Linked DNA regions of Oryzias latipes. The protein of the gene in region 2 interacts with the protein of the main gene of each other region in a biochemical or structural test. Links are inferred from orthologs where the notes say so. Each region holds a gene or a part of one and is shown on either strand. Other genes may lie near its edges.

What was found. The genes of interacting proteins can lie anywhere in the genome.
Region 1: of the proteins of map2k7 (region 2) and mitogen-activated protein kinase kinase kinase 11, one has a biochemical effect on the other in vitro, tested with the Homo sapiens proteins (2 studies listed by BioGRID). The link is inferred for Oryzias latipes from reciprocal best matches to the Homo sapiens genes MAP2K7 and MAP3K11.

The regions. Positions count from the first base shown.
Region 1 is NC_019876.2:27,257,364-27,262,113, reverse strand, and holds the start of mitogen-activated protein kinase kinase kinase 11, read right to left. Parts: upstream 2,964-4,750; 5' UTR 1,802-2,963; coding exon 1,045-1,801; intron 1-1,044. UniProt on the Homo sapiens protein: Activates the JUN N-terminal pathway. Required for serum-stimulated cell proliferation and for mitogen and cytokine activation of MAPK14 (p38), MAPK3 (ERK) and MAPK8 (JNK1) through phosphorylation and activation of MAP2K4/MKK4 and MAP2K7/MKK7.
Region 2 is NC_019859.2:2,778,104-2,782,894, reverse strand, and holds the start of map2k7 (dual specificity mitogen-activated protein kinase kinase 7), read right to left. Parts: upstream 3,413-4,791; 5' UTR 3,368-3,412; coding exon 3,244-3,367; intron 1,560-3,243; coding exon 1,512-1,559; intron 1-1,511. UniProt on the Homo sapiens protein: Dual specificity protein kinase which acts as an essential component of the MAP kinase signal transduction pathway. Essential component of the stress-activated protein kinase/c-Jun N-terminal kinase (SAP/JNK) signaling pathway.

The DNA.
Region 1 (4,750 bases), on a different chromosome or scaffold from region 2:
AAATTCTGGTGTTTTAATCAGTGTTATCAAATATTGTCTGTGAAAATGATTGTAAAAATAAAATAAATTATTTTACTTACATTTTTTCCCACTTACTCCCATGTTATTTAAAAAAAAAAAAACATTGAAAAACATGTTTGGCCTTATGCTTTGAGTCCTTGTCTTGATCCTTCTCCACAAAAAGCTCTATGATGTGTTGGAAAAGTCTTCCTGTTTTCCTTTATCTTCTGTTCCGTTTCTACGGCACCAGTGTAGCTACAAAGCAGCTGTCAGCTCATGTCTGCCCCCTGCTGGTGAGGCACGCCTCACCTGAAGCCTTTTCTGCGGGCCTACAGCAGCGTTTTCAGCGCACGTCTCTGTTAACATTGAGTCCTGCTGTCAGACATGAGGCACAGCGCTTCAGAGCCTCAACCGGAGTTTTTACTCCGTCTGTGATCGCGCAACACTCAACTTCAGCGATTTTAACCTCAGAAACTGTAAAAAACGTGTTGAGTTGACTGAAAATGTATATTTATCAGTGGAAAATATGTACCTAATTTACCTTTTTCTATTTTATCACAATTATGACAGGTGAGGCTGTGCCTCACTTGCCTCACCTGACCGCACGTCATTGGACCTTCGTCAGGAGAAAGTGTCACAAGAACATGTTAAATACACCAAAAGCACCATTTTCATTGGAGTGGGTGCTCTTTAAAAGAGTGTTTGTATGTAGTTGTATGTAGTTGAGCTTTCATGACAAGCTTGGGTGCATACGTGTCCGCTGCAGGGCCTGATATGCTGATGCAAGCCATTTTCTGCTGCATCAAAGCAGCATCAAAGTCCAAAGTTTCATAACCCAGCAGAGATAGAAAGCTTTCAACCTGAAACCGGACTGTCACCGGGAAAGCATTCCAGTCTGCCCTGGGCTCCTCTTCAGTTGGTCAGTCATGTGACCGTGCAGTCAAACAACACTTACAGAACATGCATGCTGTCCAAATAATTTGTAAATATCGCCTAGACTCCATCACCGACAAGTGAGTACAAAGACAAACTTCTGTGACTTACTGTTGTTGGACTTGAGGTCCCGGTGGATGACGGGGACGATGGCCCCGCTGTGCAGGTACAGCATCCCTCTAGCGATCTGCACAGCCCAGTTGACCAGGACATGGGGCGGGATGCGGCGGCCGGCCAGCGCTCGGCTCAGCGGCCCACCGGAGGCGTACTCCATGATGAGGCACAGGTTGGGTTCCTGCAGGCAGACCCCCTTCAGGGTGATGATGTTGGGGTGGGTGAGCATGGCGAACAGGCGCGCCTCCTGCATCACATTCTGGGCCGTCACGCTGATGTCCTCGTCGGGGTCTTGACGGGCCGCCTTCACTGCCACCAGCTCGCCCCTCCATGTACCGCGATACACTTTCCCAAAGCCCCCGACCCCAATCACCTCCTGCAAGCTCAGCTCCCGGAAATCCACGTCCGCAGGTTCAAACTGGGCCACCACGGCCTGGCCGAGCTCGCCAACCACACCGCTACTAGGGAGCTTGGCGTATCCACTGGGCTTGAAGGAGCCATAGTTGGATGGGAAGATGCCCACCTTGTTGTTGACCTTACCTGCCCACCAGCCCTCGTCCCCTGAAATCTCAGAGTCCAGAGAAAGCACCTCCACCAGGTCACCTTTGCGCAAGGTGAGCTCATCTTTACAAGACGCCTCATAGTCAAACAAGGCCGTCCATACAGGGTTGGTGAAGTTCCCCTTTTGCGACTGATCCAAGTTTTTCCAGTTCGACAATGAGCTGCGACTGAATATGTTCTTCAGCGGCTCCATGGAGCCTCCAGCAGATGTTTTGACTGGATCTGACTTTGCACACCGGGGGTTGGAAAATAAAGTACAAAGGAGTACTTTATGACGCCTCGCTCCCTTTCCTGTCTTTCTTGTTGGCTCATCAGGGACCAAAGAAATGTGTGCAAATTTTGGACAGACAGGAGTGGCGTCAAAGACAGCGGAGAGTCAACTCTTTTTCCAACCTCTCCATGATCTTAAGAGGAGACGTTTCACACTTAATCCTTTCAAAATGAACACAAGCAATCTGTGGGAGTGATAGCTTTCTAACACATGAGCAAAACATCCTTCCACTTCTCCTCTATCCTTATGAAGTTTTTCATCCACAATGCCACCTGTTGGGCTCTTATTTAGACACAACTAGAGGGGTTAAACACCTGTGAATGTTGCTACAGCAACCCCAAACACCCATCTGTCCGTTTGCGGGGATCTCTGGGTTTGTAGCCATTAAATGCGGCGGTGACCGCGGGCAGGAAGCGCCGCGAGGCGGAGAAGAATGGCAGGAAAGGAGCCTTCTGTCCAGCCAGCCAGCCAGCCTTAGTTAGTGAGACCCAACATCCAGCAAGTGCGCGTGAGCGCTCCGGGACCCCGTAAGGAAACCCCGCGTCCCTCTGAGGCGGAGGCTCCACGCGCCCCCCATGACGGGCAGTTCCACGCTGAGATTAAAGCGCTAAAAAAAAAAAAAAAAAAAAAAACACGCAGACTTTGGAACAGGAAGGGCTCCTCAAACCGAATCCCGTTAGCTCTCTCTCTCTCTGTGTCGGTGGTGTGGGGCTTTCAGCGCACCGTCCGGTGCGGCTCGGAGCTCCAGTCGGTCCCGGTGACGTCCGCAGAGCGCGGCAGATCCATCGTAGCTTCCAATCACGTTCCTCCGGCTCGGGCAGCTCTCCGCCGCCAGATACTCGACCCACTTCACGTCGGTGCTCACACAGGCAGCGCGGAGGGTGGGGTTTCAAAACTTTTCTGTCCCAACAGGAAAAGAGTCGTCAGATGACCGCCAACCGCCAAGCTTCCGCTCAGAAGCACGCAACTTCCGGGTCAACTAACAAAATAAAAGCGCTTCCTGTTGAACAACTTCAAAACCAAAAGGAAATTCGAACTAATTTGATTTTTGAAACATTTTAAATGTATTAAACCCCAATGTTTTTTGAATTGATGTTTCTTTTCTCATATATAGTATATGTATGTTTATATATGCATAATGTTGTTTGATTTTTTTATTTATTTCTACAATGTGTACACATTTCAGTAACCCCTGAGACATTCACCATGTTGTTGTATTATGTTTTCTGTCAATAAAGTCTGGGAGGGGGGCGCTTTCTGCTGCGGAACGTCCATTTCTTTTCAAGATAAATTAATTCAACACAAAATATTAACTTGTGTTTGATTCTTTAGCACTTTGTTGTTGCCTTTGGCTTTAAAATCACATAACATTGTTTGAAATGCCATTTAGAATTCTGCCAGGTTGGTAAAAACCATTGACTGTATGTGAGAACTGGACTGAGTGACTCCTCCCCCTTTGCGTTTCAAACAGGAAGTACCTGCTGGTCCCCAAAAAAAAAAATGCCAAAGAGACATAAACAGCTGTTACTCAGTTGTTAAACTTGTAAAAATAACCCTTCTTGCTCTGCTTTCTTTTTTAACATGTTAATGGTTATACAGATTTTTTTAACATGATATTTTTCTGTATTGTGAGTTATTAACTATTATTTATAAACTAACCAATCAGATGCCTCCATATTAGTGTGTGGTCTTGTGTCGAATGTTTGAAGCGTTTGACTGACTGATTCTCTCAAGCCCACTTCCAGAAGAAGGGTTGCGGCCGTCCAACAAGTTCACTCCTGACTGGTGAGAGCGGTTGCCATAGAAACATTGACTTTGACCGACTCGGACACATCACTGACATTGGTTGTGTCCAAATTCGAGGACTGCATTCTTCCTGGACTGCATTTGAGGGCTGCTTACGTCACAGCGCCGCCACAAGTGCTGTCCAAATTCAAAGACTACTTCAGATATACGGCATTCTTTTTCCCGATTTCAAGGATTGGTCTGCTGTATCCTTCTATGCTGTACATATCCCAAGATGCATTGCAGCCAAACCCGGAGATTTTCTGTCAACAGTGGCGGACTGTGAAGTGGAACCCGGAGTTGGAGATAATTACACCTTATTATATTTACTCCTCCAAGATTAAAATTGGATCAAATAAGCCAGGAAAAGTCCTTGTTCAGTTCCTTGTTCACTACTCTCTGTTTGGGATTCACGGTTGCTGGGCAACGGGACATTCGCCGATGCAGCGCCTGGAATTATCTAAAGGCAAGACTAGTCCAAATTCACAGCCATTCACATCCGGCCTACCCACTTGACGCAGGACCCGGCCAACGTCGCCCAGGAAGGCCGTGGCCATTGAAAGATGCAGCTCTCGAATTTGGACACACCCACTGACTATTCTGGCTCCGACATGCCAGCGTCCATATTGCCTGCCAAAAACTGACGACCGAAGTGACTTTATTTCGTTGGAGCCAGAAGGAATCCCTTTTCTATTTGTGTTATCACATTCTGGTGCCAAAACTCGCCATTTGACGGCAGTTGGTTTATTGGTTACACCAGTGTGGTGGGCGTGTCACCTGGTTAGACAGCGGTGAGTGTGCGAATGAAGTCCATCGTCCTTTGGAGCGGGTGAGCCGGGGAGATGTCTTTTGTTGAACAATAAAAAAACTTTGATACCATTAATGCTTTGACACGATGACACAATGTTATTTTGATTCTTTGTCACTTTGACAATTGGTTACTTTGTAGATTTGCATTTGTTGCTTGTTCAGTGCTTTATGGTAATTTGACATTGCTTAAGCAACGCCTTTTCAAAGCCTTTCATGATAACGCCGCCAGCACAAATGCAATAAATAAAAATAATACCGTCAATAAATCATCTTCAA
Region 2 (4,791 bases):
AGATGGCTCCAGCACCGCTGGACGACGGCACAACTCCGCCCAGAACAGCTACTCTGACCTTTGCTTTCAGCTAAATTACCTAAAAAACTACTGTTTTAGCCAAACGTATCTTCTTTTTTTATCTCGTTTGAATTTTTTGGTACGTCCACATCGAAGAAGCAAAAGCCTTCTGCCGTGTAAGGACTTCCTATCCCGTTAAAGCCATGCAGGCAGGCTGAGCTTCTTAAAATACACATTAAGCCTCAACGGGAAGTCATCTACAGTTCATCGATCAATGGTTACCCCCATAGCAGCCACACAAACACAAATAATGATCATGTCCAGTGGAATCTGTGTTTACACCCTTCAGTGACGCGGTCTCACTGCATACTAGAGGTATGACTAGACTAAATGTCTGCTAGCAGTCACTTCCTGCTGCTCAGAGTTTTTCTGCACGAGTGAGATAGGGCTCTGCCAGGAGCACCAGTGTTTGGGTCCAGGAGCGGCCCGGACGGGTCGGCCTGTTCGGGGAAAATGGTTGGTGAAAGGAAGCGGGGGGGGTTAGTGTGACGGGCAGACGCCAGCGGCCGTCGGCACAGATTTTCATCTCCAAAGTTCTGACAGCCTCTAAACAGATGGGAGGAGGAACGGACGGACCAACACAGATGCTAGCAGGCCCGCCTCCTGCTCACACAGCGCCACTGCAAAAAAGGGGAGGAGCCAGGAGATGAGGGGGGAAAAAAAACATCAAAACAGTCCAAAGTGAGAGAGATACGGTAGATAAAAAAAAACTGCATAGCAAGACGTAGCTGTAAGTCAGAAACACTGAACCAGGAAGGAAAACATTCAGCTGTGCCGTTAGGAAAACAGACGAGAAAGGGAAACCAGGCGGAGGTTTCCCCGCTCCTGCAGACAGAACGGTGGGGATGCTGGATTAGAGACGCTCAAACAAAAACAACCCATTCCACGACGCCGTGCAAAAAAACAAAACAAAGCCACATGCACAAGAAGGGGGTTCTCTGCCTCCAGCAGAACAAATGTTAATGGTCCTCCACGTGTGCTGAAGCACACAAACACATCAATGCGAACCAACACTGCCCTGCCACTGGCACAGACGCACAGAAGGGTGAGAAAGTGGAGGATGAAGAACTGCAGGGTTGAAATGTCAGCGGTGGAAAAGTACTGGATGCATGAGTTTGTGCAACCTTTTGATGAGCTGTGACATGTTGGGGGGAAATATTTTCTGATAAAGTGGAGAAAAGTTTTTTTTTTTATCTGACAAATTAACAATAAAAAGGTTTTATCCCATCCCATCGTTCTAAACACAGTAAAATAGAAGAAATAAAAGCACATAAAAATGTCAAGAAGAAGTAAATATTTAGTCAGGAGCTTTAAAGCTCCTGGCTGAGCTGAATGTTTCTCTGGATGTTTGAAATGAGATGGAGAGGAAGTGATGGAGAGGAGGAGAGCGGAGCAGAGAACGGAGGGCTGGAAGGTGGTGGGGAGCAGTGGCAGAGGTGAATGAATGATACCTGCACGCTGGGAGGGGGCTGGAGCAGGACTGAGCTGGATCACGATGACTAGACAGAGGAAAGAAAATATACATACACACACGCACATTACAGGAAACAGCAAACACTTCCACATTTCATCATGTTCTCATGAAAATAAAACACACTTCAGCTTTTCGCTTTTTTTCTTTTTTGCAAAACAATGAGAAGACACGGGCACAAAACCTTCATGGGCACAACACTACCAATGTTTCTGATCCCAATTAGAAAGAAATAGAATTAAAAAAGGAAATTAAATATTAACACGAAGAGCCAAGCAACTCCATAAGACAAAACAAAAAGTCCAGGTTATCCCACAGAGCCACAGTAGTGACAGATCATGCCATTTTAACGTAAATAATGTCAAATGAAAGTATATTGTGCAACTTTTTCCACTGTTGGCCAAAACCAAAACATCTCAACTGGAGCTTCGCTCCAAGGCCTTTTCAGAATTCACCCCCCCTGCCGGGTGGTGCACTATTTAGGCCATTTTTTCAGAGGAATTTACCAGAGGTCTGTGCGAAAAACCACTATGCATCGAGGCTCACTAGCATGGAGAAAAAGGATGAGAAATGTATGAACAAAACTTTGAAACATAAATAACAACGACTGACGATCAGTACTAAAATCAGCAAATATGTCCGAAGAACACGTTCAGATGTCCTTCATTCTTCAGAAGAAAATTTTCAAATAAATTCTGTTTCTGTGTCACAACAGAGTGAAAAACTTAAGGTTGAGGTTTATTATTCTCAAACTTATTTACAGAATTTTAAAGGTTTAGATCTTAAGATAGAACCCCTACAAAAACAAATGAAGTCAAAGGGAGTTCTTTAAAAAAATAGAAGCTGGAGATAACCCTTCTTTTTATTTATAGTAGTAGGTTTAGGGGCTGTCATCTGGACTTAGTTTTTAAAGTTGGAAGACGTTTCACCTCTTATTATCCAAGAGGCTTCCCATTTTTGTCAATAATTATTTTTCTTGAGCGGAAACAACTGACTGTTTTGACTGATAGTATGTACGAAGTGAAGATTATTATCATTTTCTTCTTGTCTTTAGTTTTGATAATCGTCTGCTATTTGTGCTTTAATTATTTTAATATAAAAAGACTAAAGGAAAAACAAAGTACGGCAGCTTTACGTGTAACCGTTCAGCTGCGAGTAAATCAAACTTGACGTCTGTTTGACGCAGCTAGCTTATCGAATTAGCCTGCTTAGGAACACATAAAATGGCATCGAAAACAAGCTTTTTAGAAATAAAAACTAGTATAAAAGGACGTTTTTTAAGAACAATGAAACTACGGCATGAGTGGCATTTCTGCACATTCGCGTGAAAAGCTGTAAACAACGTTGAATACTTTACAGGCCTAGCGATGGATGCGGAGCTAGCCCGTTAGCTTAGCATGTTTGACAGGACAGAAACAAAACGGACTGCGGTACAAGGTTACCGCGGTTATACTTCACACCGCCGTCACCGACACTCCCAGTGAAGAACCCAAAACAGAAGCTGCCTTGATTGTTGAAGAAGCGCTTTGACGATAATAAATCATTATTCTTGTTCATGTTTGTTTACGTAGTTAGCATGATAGCATGTAGCTTTTAGCATGGAGTAGCATAACAGCCCTCATACACCCCACCCCACCCCACCCCTTCTCTCCGATCTTCCCCTCGCTGTTCTGGCCGTCACCGAACCCCAGTGACCCCCGCTGGACACTCACTTGGCCTCGGGCGTGATCGCTGCGGACTCATGTCGATGCTCAAGTCAATTCTCCGACGGGCCTCTTCGTTTTCCTGCTTTAGCTTCTCCTCGATCCTCGAGAGCCTCTGTTCCAGCGACGACATCTTGAAAAATTTAGCACCATGGAGTTCCCAGCAGACTCCAATCTCCGGCGGGCAGGGCGGGGCGGGGGGCGGGGCCAGCGACGTACAAATGAGACCAGCGAACCTACACACGCTGCAGCCTCCGCGCACGTGCAGCACTCCGCGCGGCACTATTCTTGCTCTGTACTCTTTTCTCGTTTTCTACCCAGTTTTAGAGATTTTCTGTCTGTTAGCCAACGGAAAAAGTTTTTCTAATTGTGGAGTTTTCACTGTTTGTGCATAGACATTATTCAAGGATTCTTTTTTTGTTCCAAAGAAATAAAAAAATGTAAATATAATAAAAATGTTGATAATAATACACCTTCCTGACAACACAATTTCAGGTAAAGGGATGGCTTACGACCTTTATGTGAAGCATAAAAACAGCCAAATTTGACTGGGAATCAGGAGCACATGGAAGTTGGAAAAGGGCAGCAAAAGCTCAGATTTTGTCCTTTAATCAAAACTGAAACTAAGTCAAATTTTAAAATAAACTACCAATAGATTTAAGAATTCTGCTACTGTGGGTGAAAGTGAAACAATTGTCATTTCTGTTATGTAAACAAATTATTGTCAACATGAGTTTGTTCACTTTATCACAGACTTGGAAGACGTCAAAACAATAAAACACTGGAGGCTCTTTCTGTTGGCACATTGTGCTGCAGACATAATAATCATGAATCAAGTTTAATCCAGATGGTAATATTTTAAAATCAGATTTTCAACAACTTCTATCGCCAGAATGCTGAAACTATTTACAATACTTAGTGTTATCAAAAACTGTTGCTGGGAGGATTCTGCAGTTATTATTCATATTCTGTCACATATCAGAACATCAGGAGATTTTCTAATAGAAATGTATTCACGTTAGTACAAAAAAAGAAAAAACAGGGAATTTCTTTATTACGTGGCAAAAGGGGCCCCCCCCCCCCGCGTTCCTGTGGGTGCACACGCCTGCATTTTCTCTAGTGGTTTTTCACTTTTATCAATAAATTTAGAGTCATTTTGCCACACAAATGACAAACTCATTTTATTTTTTATACTAAGACAGAATAAAAAATACTAGACTGTCATATAATTACAGTATAAAGTATTCATTACCAGGCAAATGATAAAAATACAATCTTTTAAGCTCAAATCTACGTTTAAAAAAGTTGAACTCAATTATTTTGTAATTTAATGAATAAAAAATTAAAAAGGAAAGTCATAATAGGAATGATATTTATGATCTTACACACGAGAACATGCAAACGTCCCTCATTGGTGATTCTGTTTCAGGCCACCCAGCCGGGATTTGAACCAACGCCTTCTTGCTGAGAAATAAAGAGCCTTTTGTCCTTAAAGTAAAGCTGTATTTATACACGTTTCCCTCAGATTTAATTTCTATTTTAAGTACTACAACAGTC